Linked DNA regions of Notamacropus eugenii. The protein of the gene in region 1 purifies or fractionates together with the protein of each later gene. This does not show direct contact. Links are inferred from orthologs where the notes say so. Each region holds a gene or a part of one and is shown in the gene's direction. Other genes may lie near its edges.

The links.
Region 2: the proteins of DYRK1B (region 1) and FAM53C purify together in Homo sapiens (affinity purification with mass spectrometry; 3 studies listed by BioGRID and IntAct, counting the BioPlex papers as one, with this or other methods). This does not show direct contact. The link is inferred for Notamacropus eugenii from reciprocal best matches to the Homo sapiens genes DYRK1B and FAM53C.
Region 3: the proteins of DYRK1B (region 1) and PTGES3 purify together in Homo sapiens (affinity purification with mass spectrometry; 3 studies listed by BioGRID and IntAct, with this or other methods). This does not show direct contact. The link is inferred for Notamacropus eugenii from reciprocal best matches to the Homo sapiens genes DYRK1B and PTGES3.
Region 4: the proteins of DYRK1B (region 1) and FAM117B purify together in Homo sapiens (affinity purification with mass spectrometry; 3 studies listed by BioGRID and IntAct, counting the BioPlex papers as one, with this or other methods). This does not show direct contact. The link is inferred for Notamacropus eugenii from reciprocal best matches to the Homo sapiens genes DYRK1B and FAM117B.

What each region holds. Positions count from the first base shown.
Region 1 is NC_092876.1:32,311,123-32,319,069, reverse strand, and holds the start of DYRK1B (dual specificity tyrosine-phosphorylation-regulated kinase 1B), read left to right. Parts: upstream 1-4,936; 5' UTR 4,937-5,007; coding exon of another isoform or gene 5,008-5,041; 5' UTR 5,042-5,350; coding exon 5,351-5,426; intron 5,427-5,842; coding exon 5,843-6,012; intron 6,013-6,712; coding exon 6,713-6,832; intron 6,833-6,922; coding exon 6,923-7,111; intron 7,112-7,375; coding exon 7,376-7,523; intron 7,524-7,639; coding exon 7,640-7,926; intron 7,927-7,947. Other genes in the region: FBL (rRNA 2'-O-methyltransferase fibrillarin), read left to right, coding at 760-912, 1,014-1,130, 1,306-1,400, 1,875-2,045, 2,365-2,497, 2,998-3,110, 3,194-3,339, 3,604-3,640.
Region 2 is NC_092872.1:365,475,200-365,482,672, forward strand, and holds the start of FAM53C (protein FAM53C), read left to right. Parts: upstream 1-4,464; 5' UTR 4,465-4,967; intron 4,968-7,473. Other genes in the region: oocyte-specific histone RNA stem-loop-binding protein 2-like, read left to right, coding at 338-381, 824-919, 1,033-1,137, 2,198-2,371, 2,615-2,735, 3,402-3,596.
Region 3 is NC_092874.1:231,926,746-231,934,163, reverse strand, and holds the start of PTGES3 (prostaglandin E synthase 3), read left to right. Parts: upstream 1-4,408; 5' UTR 4,409-4,849; coding exon 4,850-4,851; intron 4,852-7,418. UniProt on the Homo sapiens protein: Cytosolic prostaglandin synthase that catalyzes the oxidoreduction of prostaglandin endoperoxide H2 (PGH2) to prostaglandin E2 (PGE2).
Region 4 is NC_092877.1:298,976,695-298,984,650, forward strand, and holds the start of FAM117B (protein FAM117B), read left to right. Parts: upstream 1-4,956; 5' UTR 4,957-5,089; coding exon 5,090-5,708; intron 5,709-7,956.

The sequences.
Region 1 (7,947 bases):
GGGCCCAGACTGGGGCCGGGCTGGGGAGGACTGGCGGGCCCAGACTGGGGCCGGGCTGGGGAGGACTGGCGGGCCCAGACTGGGGCCGGGCTGGGGAGGACTGGCGGGCCCAGACTGGGGCCGGGCCAGGGCTTGCGCGCCTCAGTTGACTCGCCGGTAGCCGGAGGCCCGCGGACCGTGGCGCCTTCTCCGCTCTCTCGCTTTCCAGCCCTCCTCGCCCCCGGCGCGGAGGGGCGGCTCTGGTACGGTCCCCGTTTTACCGGCGAGGAAACTGAGGCAGGCAGCCTGGGGTAGCAGCTGGGAAGGGTCTGGGGCCGGATTGGAGCTCGAGCCGCGCACTCCCGCGTCCTGCCCGCAGCTTTCGCGAGGCCCGAGGCCGGGTTTGGTGGGCCTGCCCGATCGGGCCGGGACCCTCCCCCTGGAGCCAGGCTGGGATGGCTGTCACCGCGGGGGTGGGAGGGGCTGGGCCCTTCCTCGGAGCTGCTCCGGGGAGAGGAGGGAAGGGCCTCCAGCCTCAGCACCCCCACCCCTCCCTGGGCCTCCCGGGTTCCTCCGTAGGGGACGGCGGGCTTCTCTGTCTCATCTCCCAGATGCACTGACAGCAGTTTGGGGCGTGATAAAGGGTCTCCCGTGCTGTGGGGCTGTCCCCCTCCCCCCATTCCCATGAACGTGAACGTGGAGCTTCCTCGTCACCTGGGGTCCGGGTGAGCTGGCAAGCGGCCGAAGAAGTTTCTGGCTAACTTATTTTTTTGCCCGCAGGATTCAGCCCCCGAGGGGGGGGCCGGGGGGGGTTCGGAGGTCGTGGCAGAGGTGGTGACCGAGGGGGCCGAGGAGGCTTCGGGGGCCGAGGAGGCTTCGGGGGCCGTGGCCGGGGCGGCTTTGGAGATCGCGGTGGCCGAGGAGGTGGCCGAGGTGAGTTGAGGTCGCCGGCTCACGGGGGTGGAGGGAAGGAGCACTTCCTCCGGGATCTATGTTGGACTGTCCAGCCAGCAAGGAATCTTTGCCTCCCGCAGGAGGGTTCCAGTCCCCTGGGGGTCGGGGCAGAGGCACCCCCCGGGGTCGAGGCCGGGGTGGCAGAGGAGGTTTCCAAGGAGGAAAGAAGGTCACTGTGGAGCCTCATCGACATGAGGGTGAGTGAGGACATGTCCAGTGCCACTTTTCTTAGCAAAGAAAGTGGCAAAACGGCCATTGTGCAGTTTTGTTTTCTTTGTTACCAGTTTTCCTCGTTTCAGAGACAGGGGATGCCTGGTAGAGAAGAAGGGGGTGCCCATGAGTCACATTGGCCCCTCTTTTTTTTTTTTTCAGGAGTTTTTATTTGTCGAGGGAAAGAAGATGCTCTGGTCACAAAGAACATGGTACCCGGGGAGTCAGTCTATGGTGAGAAGAGAATCACTGTGGAGGTGAGGATGGGACCTTGTGGTGGGAGGGGATGTGGGACAGGCTCCCATTTCAGTCAGTCATGAAGTATTTACTGAGTCCTTGCTCACAAAACAGTCTAGTGGGAAAGGTGACATGGCAGTTATCATATAGAAACAAGTCATATACAGTACAGAATAAATTAGAGATGATCCCTGAGGGAGACAGTATAGAGGGGCATTGAGAAAGGCTTCTTGTAGAAAATGGAATTTCAGGTTTGAAGGAAGCCAGGGCAGGTAGGAGATAGAGGAGGTAGGGAGAGCCTTCCAGTTCTGGGGGAGCATGTCACCAGTGAAAATGCCAAAGTTGGGAGACGGAGCATCCCGCAGATCAGCAAGGCCACCATTGTCGCTGAATCCCAAGTTATGTTGGGAAAGGGAGTAAGGTATAGGACATAGGGAAGGTAGTGGAGGGCCAGAGTATGAAGAGTTGACTCTTGATTTCCTCCACCCTTTCAGGATGGTGAGGCGAAGTTGGAATACCGTGCTTGGAACCCCTTCCGATCAAAACTGGCTGCAGCCATCCTAGGTGGAGTGGATCAGATCCATATCCGACCTGGGGCCAAAGTACTCTACTTGGGAGCAGCATCTGGCACTACTGTCTCACATGTCTCTGACATTGTGGGCCCTGTGAGTCTGGGGGAACCCTTCTCCACTTTCACAAATAGAATAAGAATAGGGAGGGCCTGCTGCCACCTCCTAACTGCTTAAATACAAAACCCAAAGAGCTAGCGGTGAGGTACATTGAAGAGATTCTTCACCTGCTACTGAACTCTGAACAAAGGGGTTTGAGGGCAGGAAGTATGGCACAGAATGATACCTGCTGATTTTTGCATGGCTCCTGCTGCTCCCCAGGTCGCAGGTGCTCTGAGTCTTAGGAGGAAGGGCTTGGTGGTGGGTTCTTGATCATGTGACAGGTGAGGACAGTGAGCTCTCCTCTGCCCCTCAGGAAGGTCTGGTCTACGCTGTTGAGTTTTCTCATCGATCTGGCCGAGACCTCATCAACGTGGCCAAGAAGAGGACAAACATCATTCCTGTCATTGAGGATGCGCGACACCCCCACAAATACCGAATGCTCATTGGTGAAGGCCTGGGGCATCCCTACCTCCATAGACAGGGCTGTGGGGCGGAAATGATCTGTGCTGTGGCTAGAGAAGGCAACCAAGTTGGGGCTGGAAGGTCCTGAATTCAAATGCCACCTTAGATAAGCTGTGTAACCCTGGGCAAATCACTTAATCTGCAGGGGACTTGATTTCCTCGGCTGTTTAAAAAAAGATTTTTGTCAAGCTTTTTGCAAACTTTAAGGCGCTATGTAAATGCTATTATTATTTATTAGAAAGGAGTGTGATTTTAATTTCTGGGAGGCAGCTGGCCTCTGAATTTGGCCTTTATCCTGTGGACCATGGGGAACGGAAGAAGGTTTCGGCTAAGTCAGGGATTGGTGTGTTCAGAGCCATCCCATGAGATTGGATTGGCAGTCTGCAGGGGGGAGTAGAGGGCTAAGAGATGAGATGGGACACAGGGATGAGCCTGACGACTCTGTGCCAACTGTGGCTGGTGCCCTTCCTTCCTCTGCCTCCAGGGATGGTGGATGTGATTTTTGCTGATGTGGCCCAGCCAGACCAGTCCCGAATTGTGGCTCTCAATGCACACAACTTCCTGCGCAACGGTGGACACTTTGTGATCTCCATTAAGGTAAAGTTCCCTGGCCAAATTCAGAAGTGAGGGGAGGAGGCCTGGCCATAGGTTTGTGTCCTCATGACCACCACCTCTCCCAGGCCAACTGCATAGACTCCACAGCCTCCCCTGAAGCTGTGTTTGCCTCAGAAGTCAAGAAGATGCAGCAGGAAAACATGAAGCCACAGGAACAGCTCACCTTGGAGCCCTATGAGCGAGATCACGCAGTGGTGGTGGGTGTGTACAGGTAAGCCTTGGGAGGATCCCCATTGTGCTGGGGGTAAGGGGTGCCTGGGCCCAGCAGGGGCCCCATTTGGGGGGGGGGGGTGCTCCTGGGCACAGCAGGGGTCCTGTTGCTCTAGGGATGGCGGGGGGGGGGGGCGTGGTTCCTGGACACAGCAGGGGTCCTATTGCTCTGGGGATGGGGGGGGTGGGGTCCCTGGGCACAGCAGGGTTTCTTGGGGGTTATCGGGGTGCTGCCTGGGCTCTGACGTCTCCTTTCTCCTCACAGGCCTCCCCCCAAGCAGAAGGAAGTAGCTGCCAAGTAGCTGTTGCTTCTCCCGTCCCCGCCCCGCCTTCCTCTTTTTCTACTGTTTTGTGTCAGATCTTTGTATTTTCTATTAAAAGGTGTGACCCCATGTGACTCCTGGATTCTCAAAGGGTTAAAGGGGGGCGGTGGAAGGACGGCCAGGCTGCGCGCCTGCGCACTGAGGCGAGCCGCCGCTGTTCGCCCTGTGGTTACCCGCGGAGGTCGGGCGTCGACCTCTGCGACGCATGCTTCGTCTTGCTGCCTTCTGCGCGCTCGGGGCGGGCCCCAACTTAGATGTCGCGCATGTCTCTTGTATAGCTGGCGCAGGCGCACGGAGTGGCGGCCCGGTGCCTGAGTCACGTGTCGAGGGAGGATGGGAGGGGGCAGGGGGCGGAGTCCGGGCCGGGGGGGCCGGTTTGTTGTGGTCGCCATTTTGCTGGTTGCATTACTGGGTAATTGGGGACCCCGGGCCGCTGCCGATCTGACTGGAGCAGCCCGCCCGCGCCGCCACCGCCAGCCTTCCCGCGCGGGGATGAGCCCGGGGCGCTGAGCCGCCGCCGCCTGCCCCGCGCGTTCCGCTCCGCCCCTCCCCCTACGGCCCGGCACCCCCCGCCCACAGGTAACGGCCGCGCGCGCGCCCGCCGGGGCTGGGGGAGGGGAGGGGGCGCGTGCCCGTCCGCTCTAGCCCATCCGTCCTCCGGCGCGCCGCCCTCCACCCCCGCGCCGAACGTTAGCCCCGGGGAGGGGGTCGGGGGGAGCACGGGACGACCGTTAGGGCCGCCCCTCCCTGGGCGGCGGGGTGGGGCGGAGCGGGTGGGGGGGCGCGCTGTCCCGGGCCCGGCGGGGTGGGGGAGGGGCGCCGGACCAGGTGCCCGGGGGGAGGGGAGCGGAGGGGGCGGGGCCGCTATTTATAGCTGGGTTCCTGGAAGGGGCCGGCCCCGGGGGAGCGCGGCGCGGGCCGGGGCGGGGCCGGGCAGCCGGGCCGGGGGCGGAGCCGCGGCCTCTCCGGCCCCCTCCCCCTGCCCCCCTCCCTCCCCTTTCCTTCGCTCTCCCGCTCTTTGTTTGGGCAAGAGCCGGCGCGGGCCCCCACCCGCCGCATCGCGGTCGCTTGGCAACAGCGGGCCGGCTCCCCGCCATTGGCCGACTCGCCGAGCCCCTCGGGCCAATGGCAGGCCTGTTGCCATGGCAGGGGTCATGTTGCAGCCGCCTCGTGTGCGCCGCGGGGAGCGGGAGCCCGAGCCCGGGAGGCGGGAGGCGGGGCGGGGCGGGGCGGGAGCCGGAGCGGGCGCCCCTCGAGCTCAGCACCTCCTCCCCCTCCCCCGCCGGGGGGGAGCCAGGGGAGGGGGGGCCCGGGCCGGGCCGGCCGGGCCGGGCTGCTGGGGTGCTATGGGCGTCGGAGGAGAGGCTTCTCTGGCCCCCGGTGCGACCCCAGGGTTGATTAGCAGATAGGCCAGGCTGGAAGTGGGGGGGAGGCCTGTCCCAGTCCCAGCCCAGCAGCTGTAGGGTTAACCCCATCCTCCCTTCCCCCTCTCCCCCCTTCCACCTGCTCAGTTGCCCCCCCTCTAGGCAACCTCGGCTGACCCCCCTCCCCCCTCCCAGCGGCTGCTGCTGTCACCCAGCGGACAGGACAGGACAGGGCCGGGCAGGGACTGGGGGGGCCTCCCCTCCCTCAGACGGGTCACCCTTCCACCTCCGTGTCCCCTCGGGGCTCCCACCCTCCCTGCCCGAGATGCTGACTGCCCGACTGCCAGACTGGGGACCCCGCCGGCCACCTGCCCATGGCTCCCGACAGCCCCCCAGCGTGGGTATGAGAGGGGGGGGGGGGTGCCGAGTGGGGGCTCACCAGCCCCCTTTCTCACGTGGGTGTAACTCGGGGCACTCCCTGGTGTCAGATGAGAACTCCCCCATATCCAAATGCCTTCCCTTTGTGCTCCCCCCCTCCCATGGAGAGTGGCTATCAGCTGGGGAGGAGTGGGTATGAGACTGGGAGAGTTCCAGCCTCTCCTCTGTTGTTGGGGGCATGGGGGAAGGGCTGTCACAGGCTCCTGACCGGCTCTGCTCTGGCCCTTCATTGTTACTGGTCTCTTTCACCCCATCCCTAATTAGCTGCCTTTGCCCTTTTCTCTGTCTGTCTGTCCTGGCTCCGTGATACTCTGGCCTGCCCCCTCCCTTCCGTGGTGCCCGTCCCCCACATCCCATCTCCTCTACTCCCTCCCTCCAGGTCCCGGCGGTGCTGGTGGCAGCAGCTGTGGTGCAGGATGCGAGAAGTCGCCCCCCAGCCGGGCTCCTGCTCCGGGCCTTCCTTCCCTTCGGCCCTCTGAGCCGGACATGGCCGCCCCTCCCAGCCATGGTCCTTTCTCCGGCTTTCCAGCCCCCCAGGAGCATACACAGGTAGCACCTAATCTAGCTCCTGGTGAAAGGTGGAACCCTGGATTGAGTTTCTGGCAGGGGGGAGGGGGCAAAAGGACAGGCCTTAGGGAAAAACGTGAAATTGAAGGGTCTGGTGTTGAATCATCCATGAGCTGTAAGATCTAGAAAGTGCAGATGGACAGTTGAAGGATCTGGGTCAGGAAAAGGAGATCCTAGTTTAGGATCTGAGGGTTACAGACTTAGAGCTGACCCGAACTTTTGAGGTCATCTCCTGCTCATTTTACAGATGAGGCAGCTGAGGCCTAAAGAGAGGTTAAGCCTTCTTTCCAGGGTCACACTGGGAGGAAGTAGCTGAGCTGGGATTTGGGCCCAGGTCCTCAGACTCCATCCAAATCCAGCTCCCTTCCATAGTATCATAGTCCCTGCCCCAACTTTGGCCATCAGACACTCCAAGGGTCTGTGGGGAAATTGTTCAAGGTTAAAGGTTAAAAGACAAAGTGTGGCAGGGAGGTAGAACTGGACTGATAGTTGGCTGGTCAGCTGTGCAATCCTGAGAAAGTTATTGAGAGAGCTTCAGTTTTCCTTTTTGTAAAATGGGGGTAACAGTTGTCGTACCTAGAGCACAAGGTTCTGTAGGACAATGGAACTGTGAGCGTGGGAGGGTTGGAAAGGGAGGTCAGGGGTTGAAGCCTGGCCCCTTACATGTCCTTCCCCCTCCTAGGTGGTGCCAGATGTCAGGCTGCTACAGCGACGGCTCCCGCTGGCCTTTCGGGATGCCACCTCCGCCCCACTACGAAAGCTCTCTGTGGACCTTATCAAGACCTACAAGCACATTAATGAGGTGGGCTGGACCCTGGGCAGGAGCTGGGACTGAGCTGGGCAGTGACTCCCAATATCTCTTCTTACCATCCTCTACATTCTCTGTTCCCAGGTGTACTACGCCAAGAAGAAGCGTCGGGCCCAGCAGGGACCCCCAGAGGATGCGAGCACAAAGAAAGAGAGGAAGGTTCTGAATCACGGCTATGATGACGACAACCATGACTACATTGTGCGAAGCGGGGAACGGTGGCTGGAGCGATACGAGATCGATTCACTCATCGGGAAGGGCTCCTTCGGGCAGGTGGGAATCAGAATGAGTGAGACACCTCAGGGAGAGGTAGGCTTCCATCCTCTGAAAGCCAGAGAAGGTGACTTTCCTCTCCTGCACCCCACATCCCGAGACCTATGTGCAAGCCTGAGTTTTCTCGGCTGCCTCTCAAGTCGTACTATTGATGCCTGAGCTAGAACATTGCCTGACTATGTCTCTTCCCCTTGGGATCCATCCTGGGGCCGAGAGACCTGCTAATTCCCATCCATCCCCATTGATCCCCACTGTCGCTCCCAGGTGGTGAAGGCCTATGACCACCAGGCCCAGGAGCTGGTGGCCATCAAGATCATTAAGAACAAGAAGGCATTTCTGAACCAGGCACAGATTGAGCTGCGGCTGCTCGAGCTGATGAACCAGCACGACACGGAGATGAAGTACTACATCGGTGAGGCCTGGGAGCAAGGCAGGCGGCGGGTGGCCAGCCATGGGAGGTGGGCACAGAGTGGAGCTGGAGGCTGAGGTCCAAGCTGCCACCGCATGTCCCTGCGCCTTCTCCTCCAGTGCATTTAAAACGACACTTCATGTTCCGGAACCACCTGTGTCTGGTCTTCGAGCTCCTCTCCTACAATCTGTACGACCTTCTGCGCAACACACACTTCCGGGGAGTCTCACTGAACCTGACCCGGAAGCTGGCGCAGCAGCTCTGCACAGCCCTGCTCTTCTTGGCCACGCCTGAGCTCAGCATCATCCACTGCGACCTCAAGCCCGAGAACATCCTGCTGTGCAACCCCAAGCGCAGCGCCATCAAGATCGTCGACTTCGGCAGCTCCTGTCAGCTGGGCCAGCGGGTACATGGCGGCCATGGGCCA
Region 2 (7,473 bases), on another chromosome or scaffold:
TGGCTACGAGGTTACGGCGAAACCCGAGCTAAACTCCGCCTTCCGGGGAAAATCGGATACATGATTGGCTCATGCTTTGGCCATTCATCCCGTCCGCCCGGACCTCGCCCTTCCCACGCCTTCCACCCGGGAGATTTAAATCTCCACCCCCCTCACCCCCTCCCTTCGCTCCCTCTCGCCCCGCCCTCACCAGCTTATTTCTTTTGAATGGTGAATTTGAAAAACCTGGTGAGTGCAGGTGAGGGTTTCTGGGCTGTTTTATTCCCCCTACCTTCCTTTTCGCCTTAGCTAATGCACCGACTCCTCACCTTAGTGCTCTGAGAGGTGATGCGATGAAATGGAGAATCTGCCTTTAGAAACTCTGGAATTGAGGAGAGAGAGGTGTGTATTGGGGTGTGCAGGTTCTCCATTCCTTCCTTGGAAAGGAGTAGGGGAACGAAGGGCTTTTCCTGCTGCTGTCCAGTTTCAACTATTGTAGCCTGACCTCTCCTTTTTGCACCTTTCCGTGCTCTAAGCACGTATGGTATCGTGAATGACTGACTACCTCTGTCCTACCAGACTGTAGTTAAAAAAAACATCCTGAAAGGAAGAGAGTGTGTCTTATCTGAGCTCGATCTCCCCCAGGACCTGCAAACAGTAGGTGCTTAATAAAAGTCCAATGTAAGTTCGTTTGCTATTTATTGAAGCTCTGAGGATTGTGGAGGGTGTTTTAGAGATGTGGACACTAATTCAATCTGGCTGTCCAGGATCCAGATGAAGGATGTGTTTCTTTGGAAAAAGCACAGCAATCACCTAGTCATTCTGATACCTTCTTTACTTATAGAACCGATAAGAACATGCTTGGGCTTGGGAATTCTTCCTCTGGAGTGAAGATGGTGAGTGTGGGAGTCAGCACAGAGAACAGCTGCAGAAGGTGCAGGTGAGTTATGGAGTCTGGCAGATGGAGTGAGATGGCCGCAGTGTAAAGAGATGTTTAAGAACATTTTATGTTTTTCATAGCTATTTATTGATAGGACATTTATTTCTCCACAGGCAGGATGTAGAAACAGATGAGATTGTTCTTCGAAGGAGACAAAAGCAGATAGACTATGGGAAACGAACAGCTGGTTACCAGTGCTTCTCACAGCAAGTCCCTAAGTAAGAGCAGAGGGTTTGGGGATGGACAACATTTATCCTTTGAAGAACTGAAAATATCTTTTACCATCAATTGTTATCAATTAATACCAAGTCACCTTGATATTCATATTAGAATGCCTTAAGAAAAATTAGGAAGCCTATCAATTAATCTTGCTATTTTCTAAACATCTTTAAGCATTCTACATGGTCTATAATACTTGTTCTGATCTTGTTAATGGCTACCTTGTCTTCCTAAACCTTCTCATCACTTGCCTTTCTGCATCTTTATAAATAGAATCTTCTATTTAAAAATATTAGGCTAAACTTTCCTGGACTTATTCTGTCTCTTCTCTTAGACTTTGAACATGAGTCAGTACACTGTTATTCGTCAGTAAGGGAAGGCATTTTAGAGGGGTTCAACTTTGCAAGTAGCATGGTATAATAGAAAGAGTGGGGAATTTTGAGTCAGAGGACCTGAGCTCAAATTCTAGCCTTATTTACTGTAACTCATGTGGTCTTGTGTACAAGTCATTTAATATGCAAGTATTTATTAAGTGTCTACTATATGTTAGGTAGAAATGAAATAGTACCTTCCGTCAAGGCCCTTATGTTCTGAAGACAACCTGTACACAAAAGTATACAAGGTAATTTTTTTTTTTAGCGGGGGGAGCTGAAGGGCATAAAAACTTCATGTAAAAGGTGGACTTTGACCTTTGCTTTGAAGGAAATTAAGGATTCTGTGAGGTAGTGGTGAGGTAGGAGTGCATTCTAGGGATGGGATATAGCTACTGCAAAGTTCCAAAGCTCAGTCTCAGTTTTATCAGCTATAAAATGAGGGATTTGGTCTAAGCAGTCTCTGAGGTGTACCTTTCAGCTTTAAATCTGTGAGCCTATGAACATTGTTCTAAAGTTAGTCTCTGATACCTGCAAACAATTAATGAACTATGTCCAACAATGCTGAAGAATTCTTTCTTCAACTAGGCTGATTCTCAGTCATGCCAATAACACAGGAGCACTAAGCCTCTTCCATCTATTTATAGGTGTCTTTGACCATAATTTAAGATGTTCATTTTATCTCTAGGGCAACACGGCAGTCAGGACTTCACCCTCAAACACCTGACAAAAGCCGAAGGTACAGCCGACGTTCCTGGGATGCCCAGATCAGGCAATGGCGACGAGCCCTACATGCTTGGGATCCTCCCAGTCAGCCTTTGCTGTTCAAAGAGAATGATATGTGTTCTTGTACCTGGCTACAGTGAGTTGTGGGATTTGAGTTCTAAACCTTCTCTTCCTTTGACAAAAGCTAGGGTATAAGAGAAAGGACAAGGGCCAAAGTTTCTTAATGGAGTCATTGTAATGATACCTGAACCCTAGACTAATCTAAACCTTTTTCTTGCTCCCAGTTCTGAGAACAGCTACCTATATAAAAAATGGGTCTGCATTGGTCCTGGTTCATTCTGCCTTTGTTTCTTCTCCTAAATAAATATACCTTTGCTAGGCAGGGAGTGGAGAATATTTCAGGGAGCATGGATTCAGGATCTTCAGATGACTTCTTGAAAGGCTGGCTCAGTGTTCTGACTCCCCTGTGGAATCTAAATCAAGACCAAATGAGAACCCAGGTAGGTTCATAGGAACAGTATCAAAAGAGTTGTCTTTCAGGGTGTGGGTATATTTCATAATGAACAAATAAATCATTTTATTTATAATAATTTATAATACATGTTGTGTATTACATATTACATATAATAATTAATAATATATGATAATTTTATATAATAATTTATAATAAATAAAATATTACTTCATAATGGCTGAATTAAGGCTGAGTTCAAAACAGGTGTATACATACTAGATAAACTGGGGTTGGGATAGTTAACTGGGAATTGGAACGAGTAGAGTTTTCTTTTTATGCAAACAAGTCAATGATATATTGATCAGAAAGCTTAAATATGGAAATTAAACAAGTGTGGTGGGAGAAAGCAAGTATCTCAGAGCCCTAATTTTAGCCTCTGCCCCATAAAGTTACATTATCTACAAGCGTACTACCTTAAACTTTAGGAAGAATTGTCTGTTTAATACTTCACAGTCTGATCCTTACCAGGGTTTTACTTTCTGTTGTAAAATGTTTGCGGTTATTCTCTAGGAGTGGGGAAAAGGGGCATAATGAAGATCCTAATGAGTACTATTCCCTCCAAGCTAAGCTACCTCTGAGAAAAACAGGGAGGATAGATAGCTATTGTCTACCTACCTCTTGAAAATGGGCCCTTTCCCCTCTCTCTTTTCAGTTTGACATCTTGGCTCTTATCACCTCACTTCCCTGTCTCCAGCTGGAAGCTCCCTGTCACTGGCTATACTGCTTGGGAGATGGAAGCCACCTACCACTTTCAGTGTTGGGGCATGTGGAGTGTGCTGAGAAGACAAGGCCTTTAGGAAATTGGGCAGGGAGGCTGCCCAGCTTTCTGGGGCAAGACCCTCATTGACCCTTGATGAAGAAAATGCCCCCTATTTAGCTTAGTGTCCTGCCTTACTCTTTTTTTTCTTCTTTCCTGTTCCTTCCCTGTTTTACAAACTTGCCAGCCTGCAATAAGAAAGCCCTTCTCCACTGGCTCAAATTTGGGTTAAAATCACTTCTCTACCCCTTTGCCTCTCTGATGGCATGACTGTGGATTCATTTATTTCCCTTGGCATTCATTCTCAAGTCTCTGTCCCTGTTTTCCTCTATTTTAGCCTCTTTCATCTAGGTCTTTCTTGGGGGGGATGAGTTTTACTCGTAACTTGTGCAGTTACTTCAGACTGAAATCCTGTGGCTTTGGTGAAAGAATAGCCCTTTCCTCTCACTGACCACTCCTGCTTTATGGACAAAGAAGGTCTTTGCGAGGGTCTGACCACTTCTACACAAAGAATGAAAAGCGGGGTTTGATAGAGGAGTCCTGAGGGCGCTTCCTCTAGAATACATTGGGGGTGGGGGAGGGAGGAGGAAAAGAGCTGAGCTTATTATGATGTCATAATCACAATCCAATTACCTCATCCTGCTGTGACTGGAAGGGCGGGGGATGGGGGGCGTTGATGGAAGAAGAGAAGGGGCCCAGGCCCACTGAGTGTAGTAATGGACGTGCAGGCGCGACTTCGGGAGAAAGAAGAAAGGGCTGGGGATGGGGCTAAGGTCCTGGGATCCAGATCGGGAATTCGCCCCCCCTGCCCCTCAGCCTTTCCTGCTGCCCGTTGTTCTGGAACCCTATTCAAGCAGGCCCCAAGTCTGGCCAGCATTGGACTACACCTCCCATCTGCCCCTGGGTCGCAGACGAGTCCTCAGTGGCAGGGAAGAGGGGTTTTTTTCAAAGCAGTGGCAGTATAGGGAGAAATAGAAAAACGAACACCGGGGTGCGAGGCTTGTTCTGCTAGAGGTCAAGGTCAGAGAAGGCGTCTTAGTCAGACTGGAGCAGGAACTGTAGAGAGAGGGCCTGAGTTTGTTTACCTCTGTCTATTCTCCCCACTGGCCCGAAGTTAGTTCAGCCTAGAGCCGGTCCCTTCCACCTTCCGCAATTCGGTAGGGGAACCTAGTGGGGAGCAAGACCCCTTTGAGGCGAGGTACATCGAGAGGAGCAAGTGTTGCACCTTTTCCATCACGGACGCTACTGATTACCAGCAGTTTTTGGGGGAGGGAGAGGAAACCCCAGGAATTCTGGCCCTCGCACGGGGCTTCGGGGCAAGTCCTGGGAGTGGGGAAGCTACCCCCCCCTCTCTGGCAGGGGGACGATTGGTTCGCTCCGGCGTTATTTAAGGGCGCCGTGGGGCAAGTGGCGAGCTCAGAGCTGCTCCGGCTGCGGCCCTGGGAAGGGGACCGAGCTGCGGTACGTAGCGGGCGGGCGGGCCCTGGGGGCAGGTGGCGCTGGGCCCTGGGGCGGAGACCTCAGCTGCCCCTCCCTTCCTCCTTCCTTTCCCAGCTAGTCCCTCCTCACGGCCTGGCTTTGCAGGCCGCCCCGTTGCGGGGAGCCCAGGACTGGTGGGGGAGGGGGCCGCTAGAGCACCGTGTCCCCAGACATCTTCCCCCCCCCCCCCCCCCAAACTCCTTTACGGGCCCGGGTCCTGGGCCAGAAGGCTGGCGTTAGGGGGCGGGTAGCGGCTCCTCTGACGTCATCCGCCCCCACCCCCACAGGGTCATAGGTCACCTCTTGCCCCTCCCGTGGTTAAGGTAGCGGCAACCCAGGGATGGAGGGGGTAGTGTGTAGTCTTAATTGTGGGTGGAGAAGGGGTGGGCAGCATCCATCACACCCACCCACCCCAGGCACCACCAGGGCCTTGGAGAAAGGAACCCCTCCCCCGCCGTTGTTTTTATTCATACTCTAACCCCAAGCTGGGGGTGGGGGTGGGGGCGTTGTGATGGAGGGAGAAGGCCTGGAGTCCCCAGAAAATCTCCCGCCAGCCTGTCCCATTGAACTAAGTAGATCTACCCCCAAGGGAGACTTCTGCTCTTCAGCTCTGACTCTGTTTCTGAGACCCAAGTATCAGTGATCACTTAGATCTTTGGGGAGTGGGGAAATGTCAGTGCCCCATTGGGGAAGAGGGTTGGGTCTTCTGGGTACCTAAGAGGCCAAGCCAGATGCCTCCTCCCAAAAGGGCTTCGATCCTTGGCGGTTATTAGGCTGAGAAGTTTTAACTTGTTTAGTGTGGGTTCAGGACTTTCTTTATTCTGCAGTTAGAAGATAAGGTAATGAAGGAGCCAAGACTAAGCCTTCTAATGCTTTAGGTTTGGCCCTCTCCAAGCTAGGTTGCCTTTTTTATATCTTGGTTCAATTGTTTCAGGTTCCCTCCCCCCCCCCCCCACTCTGTTTTAAGAAACGTAGAGCCCAAAATGTCAGTTAATGTGATAGGTAGTAGTTGGCTTGTTGCAATGACTTGTGTATGACCACATCCCAGCAATTAAAATGCAGAAAATATGAAATTATCCTCTTCATCCTCTTGATTCTAGAGAGAAAAAAAACTAGGAGTTTCCTATGGCCCAAATCTTGAGAGCCTGAAAATGAGTTTACCTCACCCTCCAAAGGCTGTCCCTAGTATCTGAATGCAACTAGGTACCCTTTTCCATTGATGGATCTCCAAAAAGGCAGCTTTAAGAAACCAAGAGCATTTAGTATAACGTAGCTTGAGTTTTATCTTCTGTAACAAGGGCCTATATAGGGGAAGCAGCTGAGGAGAAATCTCAGTGTATAGGATTTCTGTAATGCTTTTTATTTTTTATTCTTTTTGAAGAGCATAGAGAACTTTCCCAGTGTCTCAGGAAACTTATCTTTCCATGAGATGGGTATGGATTAAGGAATATTCTCCCCATTTTACAGAAGGGAAAAAGTCGCATACAAAGCAGAACTTGTCATATACAAACAGTGCCCTTTTAGACTTATGTGAGTACACAGGCACAAGTGAATGAATGAGTGAATGGTGTCCAGCCAGAAAGGTAGAACAGATTGCCTTCTGCATCCTAATGATGTCATCACTCCCAGCATCCCTAGGCTTTGTGGTGCATTGAACAGGAAGAGTGAGAGATGATACCCTGCTGGACTCCTCTGAAATGATTCCTTGGATTTATGGAGTGTGTTGTTTCACAGAGCTCAAATTGCTTTTATCTCTTAATTACCGGTATACTATTATTTCTCCCTCATTTTAATTATGAAGAAACTGAGACCCAGAGAAACTGATGTTATTTGCCCAAGATTTGTACAGCATATAGCCAGTAAGGTTGGAATTGGTATTAAAACCTCGGTAGCCCTTAACTTCTTCCATTAAAGTAAGTTATGTACTCCAAAGGATTATATTGCCCTCTAGGTCATTCCTAAAATTGGATAAACAGAAGCCATTGACAGAGTAAGTTAACATCTTTTCAGTCCACTAGAAGTCCCACAGCTGATGTGGGTTTGGAGCCTGCTGTTAAATACATGTTCCTTCAGACTCGTATCAGGAAGTTGCTTCACTATCAGTATATATAGGATAGCCTTGGAGCCAGAGCAACCCTGAAATTTGGTAGAATGAGGTCATATAGAGCTGTAGGATTGGAATTGTTTTGCTCACCAGTTTTTTAGGTTTTCATTCAAAATTTTTAGGAGGCATTTCTCAAACATGATCATTCTATCAAAGAAAACAATAACTTAGTAATTCAGATTTAATGCAGGGCAAAATTCTGTTCCGCAAGAACCACACATTTTATCCTACTTCTCTGTGGTTTAGGCACATTAGAAAAGAACACTTCTCTCGTCAAGAACTACAGGTGAAGTTTCTTGGCCACTGGTTTCATTGTCCTTGAAAGAAAACATTCAAACTTACTATCTGACTGAGCAAAATTGAACTTTGGACATAGTGTGACTG
Region 3 (7,418 bases), on another chromosome or scaffold:
GAATCCATTCATACAAGTTATTTTTATAAGGCTTTATTTTCTGAATCCATTCCTTTCATCATTTCTTACAACACAATAATATCCCATTACATTCATATACCATAATTTATTGAGCCATTTCCTAATTGGTATATCCCTTGTTTGGTTAGGAATTTCTTCCATTAGTCATAAGTTATGGAAAGGCCCTTTACATGTAAGTTTCAATGTTTTACATGATCTTTATCTGTAAAATGATGGGGTGGGAGTAGATGATCTCCAGAGCTAATCCTAACTCAAAATCCTCTTGGGCTAATTCCTTTCCAGGCCATTACTTGAATCCCACTAACTTGAATCAATTGAACAATTTACTGTTCCATAAATATATCCTGCCCTCCATGCATCTGCTCATGCTATTTTGACCACTAGGAATTCCTTCCTATCATGTATATTTGTTGAAACTGTACCATAGATATTTGAGAATATGTCCCATACATTCAACTAGACCAGGGGTGACGAACCTGTAGCCCCACGGCCACATGTGGTCCTCTAGGTCCTTGAGTACAGCCCTTTGACTGAGTCCAAGTTTCACAGATTCCCCACCCCTGAACTAGACTATTAGCTCCATGAGAGGAGAGACTCTGTCTTAGATAAATTTTATATCTCATCCAGTAGCTGGCACAATGCTTTATACTAAGTAGTCACTAAATATTTATATCCTGTACATATATCCCATTAAACTGTGTAATAGGTATTGGATCACTGGGATACAGAAATAACAGGGCCCATGATCAAAAGATTTTCTAGTCTTACATCCTCATCTTACAGGTGACAAGAAGTCGGCTTAGAGGGGGTAAAATGACTTGTCCAATATCACACAACTATTAAATAGCAAAACCTCTTGTACTAGTCATCTCTCCTTCTACACTGTAAACTTCTTTTAGGCAGGGAAATTGTTTATTATCTTTGTATCTCACCCAAACTAGATTTTACAGATTAAGAGCCGTACAGGTGACATTTGATTTGAGCTCAACAAGCAGGAAATGCAACAAGGAATAATTTTTAACATTAAAAAGAAAGTCAATATACCTATTTTAAATGTCAGGAAATTTTGCTCTTCAAGACAAATAGTTATTCAATTTGTGATAAGAAAAATGCTACAATAAAGGTTCAATGCATCCAGTGGGTTAATAATCCATGGGGGAAGTGGAGGAAATGACACAATTTTTTCTCCCATGAATTTAATCATCAACAAACAATTTAATATACAAACAACAAAGAGGATTGTTAAATTGTGAATTTATTTATATAGTTGCTGGTCCTGGACAAGTCATTTAACCCCTCAGTGTTGTAAGCAACACTGTTAAGACTATTAAGTTGCTGAGGTAGGTGTCTCCCTGCATTGGCAGGAGTTTCCTCATCTGGGAGTTCCCTCTTTCAATGAAATAACTGATCTAATTTCTGTCCCTATTTTATATAATAAGTATAAGGCCATCAACAAAATTGCTTTGTTTGTATTTCCTGTACCTCCTTCTGTACTATGTTTTTGTCTGTGTGTAAAATATGTGTGGGTAAGCTGTATAATATAATGATATGCTGGCCCATTTGACATAGAGGGTTCTCTGATATGGAATCTGGTCCACTCTATCACTGAGGGAGGCTGAAATTTCTTCCTTTTAAAGAGTAGGAGAAAGGCTTTGCCTTTACCACCAGTCTAGCAAAAAAGGGGTTGTAGGATATTTATGGCAGGATGATCTCTTTGCCAATCTCATATTTCCAGATATAGGTCTAGAATTAGATGCATCAAATATGAGTAGTCTAGGCATTTGAGTTGAAGGTGTTTGGCATACAAGATATTTTCCCTGATTGATCTCAAGGGAAAGGGACACCTTGACTAACACCAATTTAGATTCCTCCTCAAATACTAATTATATAAATTATATAAAAGGCCATCAAGACTAGCAAGTACTTCATCAAAATCATCCAGTAAATAGAAACCTGAGAAGTTATACAAATTAGGATCGGTCTTGAGAGCAAGATAAAAACTTCAGCCCAAGAATCTACTCTTAGCAATCTCTAGGATTGCAAGCATTGGAAGTCAGGGATATGATGGGGGTCAGCTTCCCCTAGTTTGTAGCTCTGAATAAATCACCAGTCCACCATTTAAAAGTCAGCCATCCCTGAGTCTTTGCCTCTCTGGAGGGCAGCTAGGTGGTACAGTGGATAGAGCACCAGTGCAGTAGTCAGGAGGAGCTGAGTTCAAATGTCACCTCAGACACTTGACACTCACTAGCTGTGTGACCTTGGGCAAGTCACTTAACCCCAATTTGTCTCATCCTGGGTCATCTCCAGTCATCCTGATGAATATCTGGTCACTGGATTCAGATGGCTCTGGAGGAGAAGTGAGGTTGGTGACCTGCACAGCCCTCCCTCCCTCAAAACAAAATCAAGTGCAAGTCATCATTTCTCTGATGCCATGGTCTTCTTTGACAAGGAAGGACGAATACACACCTCTCTCCTGAAATGCTCCAACAAGCTGAAGCTAATATGTTACATTCAGTGTCTCCAGCTCAGAGGTCTCTCAGACAATTAGGGGTTACACCTTATTACACATAGGCTGTGCAACACCAAGAGGGCTGCCCTCAGGAAAATCACCCCAGGCTTGGGTGAAAATGGGGTTAAATACACATTTCAAAAAAAAAAAACAAAACACTAAAAAGAAGTTACCTGTGCTAGATAGTGGATAGAGTGCCAAGTCTGGAGTCAGGAAGATTCATTTTCCCGAGTTCAAATCTGGCCTCAGATACTTACTAACTGTGAGACCTCGGGCAAGTCATTTAACCCTGTTTACTTCAGTTTCCTCATCTGTGCAACAAGCTGGAGAAGAACATGGCAAACCACTCCAGTATCTCTGGCCAAGAAACCCCCAAAAGGGGTCACGAAGAGTTGGCTGTGACAATAAAAATGCTTTTTTTTACGAATCCACACTGGCCATATCTGAGATGTTATAATTCCTTCTGCATCTCCTGTTCCTTACCTCTCTGCCCAGGTACGACTGGAAGGTATGTTTCATCATCAGTTTTTTGAAGGCATCACTGGTCACTGCTTTTATTAGAATTTTGTCTTTCAAATGACTGTCATCTTAAACTGTTCTCCTGGCTTTCCTCATTTCCCTCTGCATCCATCAATACGTCTTCAGGGGCTCCCTGAATTGATCATATTCCTAATTTCTCAAGGAGAAGTCATATTCAAGGACATGAACGCACGTAACATGGTCACACATTTATTTACCTGCTTTGTTCCCAGTTATTTGCTAGGTATTCTTGAGCACCTGGGTTCTTTCTTTTTTGGGTTTGATTTCCACAGGGTCTAAGAATCTAACGGTATTTCTGGGTCACAGGCATACACAGCTTGGTAATTTAAGGGAAAAAGTTATCCATTTTTTCCAGAAACACTGAGAAAATTCAAAACTCTGCTAGAGGCGAAGGAATGTACCTATTCTCCCATGGCCTTTCCAACAACTGCTATTTTCCTCTTTCCTCTTCTTTGCCATCTGACGGGCGTGAGATGACGTCCCTTCAATGATTTTAATTAGTGATTTGGAACTTTTTTCCCAAATGATCACCAGCGTCATCCCTGGAGAACCGCCTCTTCACGGGAATGCCATTTCAGCCACCATCCTCCAAGCCCTGAGCTGGCTTTGGGCAGATTCTGAACAAGTATTCCCCCAGGAGTGAAAGCAATGGCCGGACATTATCAAAGTCAGCGGCCATGTGGTCTCCGAGGAATCCCGGGGTCCATTTGCTCTCAATTCAATTCGGGAGCCATCTACAAAGGGGCGGGATGGTGCCTGCCCTTAAGGGGCTTACATTCTACCGCACTCCACAGTATTCCGCGGGGTCTCGCCCCTCCCCCCAGACAAGGCCTTTCACCTCCCCTCCCCCCTCCCCCCTCCCCCCAGACAAGGCCTTTCACCTCCCCCTCCCCCTCTCCCCCCAGCCAGGGGCCTGTCCTCCCTTCAGAGCGAGGATAGCGTCGGCCCAGGCCGGGGGAAGGGGTACGACTCAAACATGTCTCCTGCGGCCGAGTTTTTTCTCAGCCTCGGGCTGGGCCGTGGTGGGGGAGGGGAACCTGGGGCGGGGGTGGGCAGAAATGCCACCATCTCCGCCCGCAGGCTGAGGGCCGGCCGCCTCTCGGCTAGCCTTGGCCAGACGACTAGTTTCTCGGGAGGTTTCCCCGGGAGACCACGCGAAAGCGCGAGCCCAGGCGGTTGGGTCACCAACGGTTTTCCAACGAGAGGCTGCAGGGGGGGGCGGGAGGAGAGGCGGGAAGGGACAGCGACTGAGGGGGGGCAGAGCGGGCGGGGTCAAAGAGAGTGACGGGGAGACTCCGCCCTTCTCATAGAGATCTCTAGAAAGCCGGGCTCGCGCCCGAAAGCACAGGAACGCGCACGCGCGAAGGGGCCCGGGCATTTTGCTGCGTCACTAGCCGCCGCCGCCGCCGCCGCCGCCACTGCCTCCTCCTCTGTCGCTGCCTCCGCCGCCGCCGCCACCTTGCCTCGCTTGGCCTTACCGCCCCTCGTACGCACACGTTCATTCTCTCTCCTCGCGCCCTCTTCTTACTCTTTCCTCCTCCTCCTCTCCCCGAACCTCTCTGGTCTGCCGCGCGGTGCATTGTGGGATCCAGGCCAAGCCCGCCGCCGTCGCCTCCGCCGCCGCTGCCGGAGGGGAAAGAGCGAGGCAGAAGAGAGGCCGCGACCGGAGGAGGAGGAGGCACCCGAGCCGGAGCCGCCCGCCCGCGGGGAGTCGGAGCCGTCCTTGCCGCCTGAGAGACCCAACCCACCCGTTCGCCCGCCCCCCCTACCCTGTACACAATGTGAGTGTGATAGCCCGCTGAGGGGAGGCCAGCCTGAAAAGAGGACGGGAGGCGGAGGCCGCGGCTCGTGGACGGAGCGGGAAACCGACCCTCCCCACAGCCCTGCGGGGCCCAAGCGGCGTGGGGGGGGTGCTACCCCCGCGGGGGGGAAGGAATCTCCCGTGACATCCCCCTTCAGGGTCCTCGCGGGAAGCCGTGGGGCCCCATTCCCAAAATGATCCGTTCCCTTCCCCCATCCTGCGGGCCCTCGCTCCGGGAAGTTCCCCCGGGCTCACCCCCGAGGCCTCCATCTCCAGTGACCCCGTTCCTGCCTGAACGTGCCTCGGAGGGGAGGCCTTTCCTCCGCCGGCTCCCCCGGGATGCCCCGTCGTGGCAGCAGGCCATGTGCATTGGGGGCAGGAGGCCCCCGGAGAGGGGGGTGACCACGAGTTGGGGGCCCCATGTGGCCTGCGGACCGGAGCAGGTAGTGCTGGCCACGTGCAGGCCTCCCCACGGCGGGCCCGTGGCATCTTGACCTAGTCCGGTTACCTGTGTCACCCTGACATGGTGTTGCCCCCCAGGGGGGCTTGGGTACTTACTTTTGGCCCCCCCATGCTTCAGCGTGACTGAGATCCCGAAGGGAGAGTAGGGGCAGTCTGCACCAGACAGTTTCCTGACAGGGAGGAGAGTTAACTGCCTAACAGGTATTTTACACGTGTTTGACCCAAAGGACTATTGTGGAGTTTTACAGAGATAATATACTACCTTAAAATTGTAGGCAAGGTAGGTGTTCCTTCCTTAAATCTCCGTGAGATGTGTAGATCTTAAGTCTTCAGGGGGTAATTTCTCAAAGGTGTGTAGGGGATGGGTCACAGATGCCCATGCTGGAAGTAGAAGTTTGAGTAGAACAAAGGGAAAAGGCTTCACCTCTGGAATCTTCTACATGCAAAGTCTAGCATTTTTCTCTGCTTCTCCACTTTGTGGATTGTTCACTTTGTGATATAATTAAGTTTAATACTAACTTAGACTAAAATTTAGTAATTGAGTAGTAGTTGTGGATTTCAGATTTAAATTTCTTTAAAAATTAAACTAATTCCTCAAAGGCATCCAACACTTATTAAAATGACATGCATTTTAATTTTAATAATTTTAATGACATGCAGGGTGTAGCAGAAAAATGGTCCGGGAGACTAACATAAATAAGACATAGCATCCAGTTGATTGAAAACATTGTGAAGGGAGCTTGAATTATCACAAAAGGGGTGCTTTCAGAGTGTGGAATTGTTTATGGCTAGAAAATTTAACTGCATGTATGAAACTTTTCCCGCTTTTGTAACCTCACATTTTAAAGTACCCGTCTTAATTCAATTGTATCTTTAATTCGTAGAATAATAGGAATTTTGATTATGCAACAGTTACAGTTAAAAACACAGGTTTTTAGGAAATAACAATAAATTCTTGTCATTGCTGTTCAAAATCTCTAGTTCATCTAGCATAGAGTTGTATCCATTTTGAGAGCCAAGGGTTTAACGTGAGTTGAGGAAATTTGCAGATAAAGTTTTAGTAACCAGATAGTCTAGAAACAAATACTCAGTTAATTACCGTTTGACTTAGCTGCATGTTCAAAAAGTTTTTGAAACTAGTTTTTAGTCACCTATGCAGTGGAGGAGAGAAGAAAGAACCTGTAAATAGATGAAACTTGGATAAAAATCAAGATAGTAATCAATATTCCAGGAGGCATACCTTGAAATGAGTGTATTTTACAAAACTAATGGCTTCAAGTTTTCTAGTTTTTGAAGAAAAAAATTTATGTTTTTGATTTTGTGACTTCTTCAGGGATGTGAATTTATAAAATGAATATTATGATTCAGTTGAATTGGAAGAGACATTTTATGGATCATCTACTCTTAGGAGGAATAACATTGATAAGGCTTCATTTGCCTTATAATGAAAAACAAAAAGAAGGAAAAGGGCAATGGGGGGGGGAGGTCCTACTCAAAATAAGTGGTAGTGGTTGCCCAGCCATTTGGCTTTAAATATTTTAATCAAAATAAGTCTTATTTGTCTATTTCTGTAAGGTGCTCAGAGGTCACAATACAGTATCATTTAGGGAAAGCAGTTAATAGCATCATCTTTCACCCATGGAAATGAGGACCCAGAGAAATTTTGTGCTTGCCCCAGATCATTATGTTCTTGATGGGGACTAACCAGATTCCCACCCTAGCAGGAAAGGTAGGTTGGTGTGGTAGAAAGAACCCTGAATTCAGGAGACCTTGTTTCAAGTCCCAATTCTACCACTTCCTTTTTTTTTTTTTAATCTGAATTGGAGCCAGCCTAGATCTCTATTAGCTTTCTTCCAGCTCTTTGCAGTTTGAACAGTCCAGGGGTAAGAACACTTAATTTGGAATCAGAAGATAGGTATCCTTATCTGTATTCATGCATCTCAGTCATACCCATGTGATCTTAGGCAAATTGGTTAATGTCTCTGGATCTCAGTTTTTCCTCTTGAAAAATGAAAGGGCTGTACTAGATGGCCGTTAAGGTACTCTCCAGCTCTAAATCTATAATTCTATTGCTTTTTTTCCTTA
Region 4 (7,956 bases), on another chromosome or scaffold:
GCTGTGCAAGGTCACCAGCCTCACTTCTCCTCTTGAGCCATCTGCAGATTTCAGGGGATTTGAATGGATGGGGGAAAAACACATCTTTATTTCAACATAATTGGTTTACTTAGCAACACTATATATTTTATTTTATTCATTTAAAAACATAATTCTGAGAAGGGGTCTATCTGCCTGACTACCAAAGGACATCACCCAAAAAGGTGAAGAACCCTTGGCCCAAATTAAGGTCTCCAGCACCTCAGCTGGAGCCCCTCAGAAAGATGAATGAGAGGATACTGATAATGAGTATAGATCAGGATGAGAAGGTACATTGTGATTTGGACTGTTAGGTCAGGACCCACTTTGACAAGATCATGGAGCAACTGAAGTCATCACAACAAATCTTTTTAAAGTGTTAATTGTGTAAGGAGTATTTGATCTGTCTTCACCTCTCTCATGCATCTACTCTTTTCTAGTCTTATTACCATTACCATCAACATTTTTTTAAGTTAATTTATTTTTAGCTTTCAACATTCACTCCCATCACTTCCATAAGTTTAAACTTTTCTCCCCCTCTCTTCCCTCCCCCTCCGCAAGAGGGCATGCAATCTGATATAGGCTCTACATATATGTTCCTATTAAACATATTTTCACAGTAGTCATGTTGTATAGAAGAATTAGAACAAGTGGGAAGAACCGTAAGAAAGAAAAAACAAAACAACAGAAAAAAGAAAATAGTCTGCTTTGCTCTGCCTTCAGACTCCATAGTTCTTTCTCTGGATGTGCGTGGTATTTTCCATCATGAGTCCTTTGGAATTGTTTTAGGACCTTGCACTGCTGACCCTCAGCATTTATTAACAGTCCATATTTCTCTAACAGATTCCTTTTTTCCTGCCTTTAGACTCTCTTTCCTCTAAACTGTCCTTCATCAGATCTCATCTTTGTTATTTCTTTGCCTGAAATGCTTCAATACAGCTCTTCACTGCCCATCAAGTAAAGTTAAAATTCCTTAGTCCATTTGTCCAAGTCCTTCACAACCTGGCACCTCCTTACTTTTCCAGACTTAACTCATGTCACTCACCAATTCTTGGCTCATGTGATTCTCAATGCCTAGAACCCTCCATCTCCATGCAGAATCTTAGTAGAAAAGGCACTGGAAGACCTGGGGTTAAATTCTAGCTCAGTGACTTACTAGGGTGACTAGACAAGTCACCTAACTTGAGGCTATTATCTATAAATTGGAGATAAAAATGCATACTTCATTGTGTTGTTATGCTGATCTGAAGAATGTCAGTGCTCTATAAAGTTTGAGGCACTATGTAAATGGTACCTACAGTATTATGTTTAGGGAAGCACTGTGGGGGTAGTGGAAAGTTCCAATAAATCTGAATCAGAGTAGGGGTCTGAACCCTGCCACTTGCCTTGGGGAAATCATTTACCCCTCCCAGCCTCAGTTTCCCTACATTACCTCCAAGGTTTAAATTTGTGATCCAGAGATCTTTCAAGGTGCATTGCAATTTCTACTTTCTTTATAAAGCCTTCTCAACTTCATTTGACCTTGTATAACACTACACTTTACATCCTGCATAGTTATTATTGCAAAATGTTATTACATAGCTATTATAGAGAAGCAGCTGCCTGTTGTAATGGTTAAAGCTGACTTGGGAGCCTGAAAGCCCTGGCTTTGCATCCTGCCTCAGACAACGTACTGTTTTTACTACTCTGGATCAATCACTGGACCTCTTACTGTCCTAAGTAACTCTATAATCACATAAGCTAATCTGCACTGGTAGAGGAAGTGTCCTCATCTAGTAGTTTCTTATTCTTAAATGAGATCACAGGTCTAGACTCTATCCAGGTATGTAGAATATTTTTATTTATATGTATATTTCTCCTGCAAGATTGAAACTCCCTGAGAATAAGGACAATCTACTAATTATTTTTATATTTTTCTCTTGGCCCCTCTCCCAGTTATTACCATTCTTTTCACATAGTAGGCACTGTGTTCACCAAATATTAAATCCATTAAGGGTTAATGATATGTAAAGCACCATGCTAGCCAATCAGGAAGATACTGTCAGAGAAGGTGTAATCCCTGCCCTTACAGAGCTTAGGTGAAAAAGAGGCTTTAGATTGTATCTGTGCATACTAACCACAAAAATACTTGAATAATTTGCCAGGGTAGATTAGGTGCACTCATTTTGAATGGTTTCAAAGCATCTTCCAAGCCTGCTCAGTTTACTGACGGCCACAAAACTTTTAATTCTGGAATCTTGCAAAGAGATATGATGCCATCATCATATCTGAAGGAAGAAAATGAACTAACAAGATGGGGAAGCATTTTTACCTCTTGGGTCACAATATATCAATCTTCAATTCATTATATATAAACTTATCATTACCTGTTTACACATTGTGTCTCTACAGAAGGAATGTAAGATTCTTGAGGACTGGGGCTGGGTATTGGGTTTTTTTTAATTTTTCTATCCCAGAATCTTGTTCAATGCCTTGTTCATATTTTGTTTTTGCTTGGACCTATGGTTTTATTAGTACAAGGACCTTGTGTAGGAATTCTGTCCACCAATACTTATTACAATTGGTCTTTAGCTTATAGTTTCTATAAGAGCTGCCTGAGGATTTGTGGTCAAGAAGACAGTTATATGTCAAAGGGTGGATTTAAACCTAGGATTCTTGACTCTGAGGCCCATACTTTATCCACTGATATCAAATAGAAACGGACCTCTGTCCCTGCATACTGACTTAGAAAGTCACAAATTAACATTATTTACTTTGTATTATATTTTTATGTATTTGGTTAAACTTTTTCCAGTTATATTTTAATCTGGTTGGGGCTGCACTGATGAATTCTGTGAGCTGCTTGGGACCTTGGACACCTCTGTGCTATACCATGCTTTCACCTCCTGCATAACAAGCCTTTAATAAATACTTGATGGTTAGTATTGGACATACACAATTAGAAGATTGGACTAGATGACGTTTCAGGTACACCAGTAACTTCATGAGTCTGTGAAATCCAAGGGAAGAGGTGAGGTGTAATTTGAAGGAAGAGTTCTGGGGTATTGTTTTACCTGCCAGGCCTTCAGAAATATTAACCACCATTTTACATCACCTTCTACTAAGTGGGCTTGTAGGATCAGAAGCATCTAGGGGGTCATAATCAATCAGTAAATATTAAGTATTTGTTATGTTCCAGGTACAACAGATAAGATGACAAAAATCAAAGTCCCTTCACTCACAGAGATTTCATTTTATCAGAGAGTCCATATGTATATATGTAATATAAATTATACATCAAAGTGAGGTAATTTGGCACGGAGATAAAGGGAGCTAAGAAGTTTAATAAGAGTTTCAGGTGTGACTTCTCTAGTCACACAGAGACTAAGTGACCAAGCTGGAATGTAATCCCAGGTCTTCTGACTACATCTAGCATCCTCTCCACTAGGATTTCCACCAAGGGTTGAAGGACATGAGGCATAGAGAACAGAATGAGTAAAGGAACAGGGGCAACATGAGGGTATTTGAAGTGGGCTTTGAAGGGAATGAGGAAACTAAAGAAATAAAAATGAAGATGGAGTGCATCCCAGGAGTGGAGGACAGGATGTGTAAACAGATTGGAGAAGGAAGAAGCAGAAGATCAGTTTGGCTGATCCTGGAAAGGTAGGTTGGGTACTGGTTGTTAAGTGCTTTAAATACCAGAGCAGAGTTCTTGAGCAAAGCAATAACCCTATCAGGCCTCTTCTAAAGGCACATGGCTTTGGCAGCTGGGTGGAGGTCAGAGACCAACCAAGAAGCTATTACAATGGGCTAGGTGAGATGATAACTGCCTAAAGGAGGGTGGTTGCCATGGCAGTGGGGAGAAGATGAATTCTAGAGATGCTGCAAAGGCAGAATGAGATTGACAGATGGCTAGAAAGAAGGCTTTGAGACTGAACACCTAGGTGACTGGAAGGAGGGCGGTACCAGCCATAGAACTAGGGAAGTTAGAGAGAGGGGTGGCTTTTGGGCAGGTGTGCTGACATTCAGCTGGAAATGTCACGTTAGGGACAACCCCTCATCAGAGGTGGCAGATCTTTCTTCATGACGTTGGCATTCCTAAGATCATAGACCCAGAGCTGAAAACACACGCAAAAACCCCTCCATAGCGGGCCCCGAGTCTAGCACCCTCATTGTACACATGGGGAAACTGAGGCCCGGAGAAGACGAGAGGTCTGCTGGGGCTCCAAGGGCTTCCCTTGGCCAAGCTCTTCCCCCCGAGGCACCTGGAGTCCCCCTTATCCGACTCAGCCCTTTGTGCGGCTCCTAAAACGGCACCGTGAATGAGGGGGTGGGGTGGGGAACCCCTGAAGGTGCGGGATCGCACCCCGAGCGGAGTCGTCCCACAGTGTAAGGACGAGGACGGCTGGGCCTCAATCGTGGGTCTCGCTCCCACCCGGGAAGGGTGAGTGCAGCTGGGGCAGCGGGTGGGCACCCCCACTCCCCATCTCCTCCTCCTCCCGGATGCCCGGCCCCCCGCCCCAAATCGGACTGCATCTGTCTTCTCTTTCCAGCCCCTTCCCGATGCCCTCTCCCCACCCGTCCGGTCTCCATCGGACCCCCAGCCTGGGTGCCCCCACGCTGGACAGGGGAAGCGACTCAGGGCGCGTGCGTACACACTCACACACATACACACATTCCCGCACTACGAAGCTGAGGGGGCGGGGCGACGACGGGAGGAGGGAAGAGGAAAAGGGGCGGGTCCGGCCCCCCCTCCCCGCCTCGGAGAACCAACAGGCTGCGAGAAGATGACCCGGTCTCTTTAAGGCCGCGGGACCCTCGGCCCAAGCTACCCCGCGACCAATCGGCGCGGCCGAGGGGCCCCAGCGCGGCTGACGCGGCGCCAATGGGCGGCCGCGGGGGGCGGGGGCAGCTCCGGAGACACTATTGTTGATGAGGAGCGAGGAGCCGCCGCCGCCGCGGGAGCAGCAGCAGCGGGAGCAGCGGCGGCTGCACCGGCGAGGGACTGCCCGGCCTCCAGCCGCGGCCTCGGGGCCTCGCGGAGCAGCCTCCCGCCCCCCGCACTCGCAGCGCGGCCCGGGAAGGGGGCGTCATGTCCCAGCGGGTGAGGCGCAACGGGTCCCCCACGCCGGCCGCCCCCCTCGGCGGAGGCGCGGGCGCCGCGTCCGGCCCCGGCGGCGCCCCCGGGAGCCGCCTGCAGCCCATGAGGGCCACGGTGCCGTTCCAGCTGAAGCAGCAGCAGCAGCAGCAGCAACATGGCAGCCCCACGCGGAGCGGCGGCGGGGGCAACAACAGCGGAGGCGGCGGCGGCAGTTCGGGACCCCCAGGGGGCGGAGGCGGCGGCGGCGGCGTCAACGTCCCGCGCACCTCCTCGCGCAGCACGAGCCCCACGCGCGCCGGCGCCGGCGGGCCCAGCGCTCGCGCCAGCCCCACGGTGGCCACGCAGACGGGCGCGCCCCCGACGGCCACGCGGGGCACCAGCCCCACGCGGGGCGCGAGCGCGCGGGGCAGCCCTCCCCGTTCGCAGCCCCAGCCCTCCCAGCCGCTCCTGGGTACCGTCTCGTCCCCCTGCTCGTCCCCCATCCATCTTCTGGCGAGCGACGCGGCCGCGTCCCCGGCTACGGCCCGGGTCCGACACCCGAGGCGCTCCCCGGAGCAGAGCCGCAGCTCCCCCGAGAGGAGGAGCCCCAGCTCCCCGGTCTGCAAGGCGGGTACGTGCCGGGGGAGGCGCTGCGGGCGGGCGGGGGCGTGGAGCGTGGGGCCTGACCCGGGCACCCGCTGGCTCGCGGGGCCGTGGCGGTTGGGGGCGGGGTTAGGGCGGCCTGGGTCCTGCTCGTGCTGCTCGGTGGGCGGGGCCACGGCCGGTGACCCCGCCCCCGACCAATCCTAGCCGCCTTCCCCCCCAAGTTTCTTTTTTTGGGGGCACAATGGGCTCATTGAACTGGAGTCCACCATGTGCGGGTTTCCAAGGAGGGCATGCCTGTGCCACCAGCTTGCCTGGGTTTGTGTTCATCAATAAACCCGGACTTTGTCATTTCTGCGAGTTCAGTGGTTTATCCACGTTTTCTGTCGTACATCCTTTCTTTTTCTGGGGGAAAACCCTCAAGAAACTGCCCCCCATCTTGTTAAATGAAACAGTTCGAATATGGAGTAGGAAAGCGTGATTTGCCCACCGTGGGCTTTGTTTAACGAGGTGCTTAAGTGCCTGTTGCTGCTTTTGCTGTTTGTTCTCCTCCCCCCAAAAAACCAGTATCAAACTTTACTCCTTGTAGAGCAGAGATTCGTAATCTGGGTTTGTGAACTTTTTTTTTTTAAATGTTTCATGGCTATTTCAAAAGAATTAGCTTCCTTTATAATACGTATTTTTTGCATCTGAAGACGTTATTTTGACAAAAAGGTCCGGATTGCCAAAGGGGCTTCATGCAATAAGAAAATGTTAAGAACTAATGAGACTCCAGAAAGCTTGAAAGAAATAGTAGAACTAACTGCTGGTTTTATTAGTTATTGATGTCCACAGAAAACAAGATGCAGGACTTTTTAATGGTAGTTCTTTTCCTCTTAGGATAATATATATATTAGTAGAGGAAAATATATGCTTCTGTATTAAATAAAACATTTAGACGTTTGGAGTTTTAAGAAACTGTTTCTTAAACCAAGCGTAAATACCCCAAAATTGTTTAGGATGGAAGCATTTGCATTTACAGTCAGGTATAGCACCATCTAGATGTGTTTGTAATGATCTGACGGTTTTTGTAATACACAAGCTCTGTGTCTGCGAAATTGTTAATAAGATTACTCTTTTTAAAAAATTTTGGTGTTCTGAAATATGTTTCCTCCAGTTAGTGCATTACTATTCCTCAGGACTTAAAGCTGTCCTTGGAAAATAACAATAGACAGGTTGTAGGTGTTGTAATCTCTGTAGTTGATAGAAATGTAGCAAGAAGAGAAACTTGTGAAGAGATTGAAATGGTAGTACCTGGAAAGGGCTAGAGTGGACTCTGTCATGTTAGAGTTTAGTGAAAACTGGGAAGGGTGATTTTTAGTTGTTGGTAGCACTGCCTGTATGTTTTTGTTCTCTTACTTCTGGGGCATCCCACTGAAAATAGATAGTTTAATCAATCAGTAAACCTATATTAAAAGTCCACTATGTGTCAGGCACTATGTTTAGTGCTAGAAATACAAAAAGAGGCATAAGGAGCTCACATTCTAATGGAGAAGACAAGGTAAAAACAAATATATGCAAAGCCAGCTAAACATGGGATAAATAGGAAATAATTGACACAAGGAAGGCGTTGGAATTAAGAGGAGTTGGGGAAGGCTTTCTGTAGAAGGCAGGATTTTAGTTGGAACTTAAGGAATACAGAAAACCCAGTAGGCAGAGATGAGGGAGAGCATTGCAGGCATGGAGGACAGCCAGAGCCAAGAGATGTCTTGTTAGTGGAACAACCAGGAGTCTGGTGTCACTAGATTGAAGAGTATGCACTGGGGAGGAAAATATAAGAACACTGGTAAGATAGAAGGGAGCTAGAATAAGGAAGATTTGAGTTGCCAAACAGAACATTTTGTATTTGCTCCTGGAGGCAATGGGGAGCCACTGGAATTTATTGAGTTTGGGCGAAGCAGGGGCAAGGAGATGATATGATCAGGCCCTGAGCCTTAGGAAAATCACTTTGGTGACTGATTGGAGGATGGATTGGAGTAGGGAGAGATTTGTGGCAGCAGCTATTGCTGTCATCCAGACGGGAGGTGATGAGGGCCTGTGTCAGAGGGAAGAAGGGGGTTTATTTGAGAGATGTTGCAAAGTGAAATCAACAAGCTTGGCAGAGGTTTGTATTTGGTGAGGAGGGTATGAGAAATAGTGAGGAATCCAGGATGACTCCCAAGTTGCCAGTCTGAGGAATTAGGAGGATGGTGTTGCCCTCCACAGTAATAGGGAAGGTAGCAGGGAAGGGGAGTTTA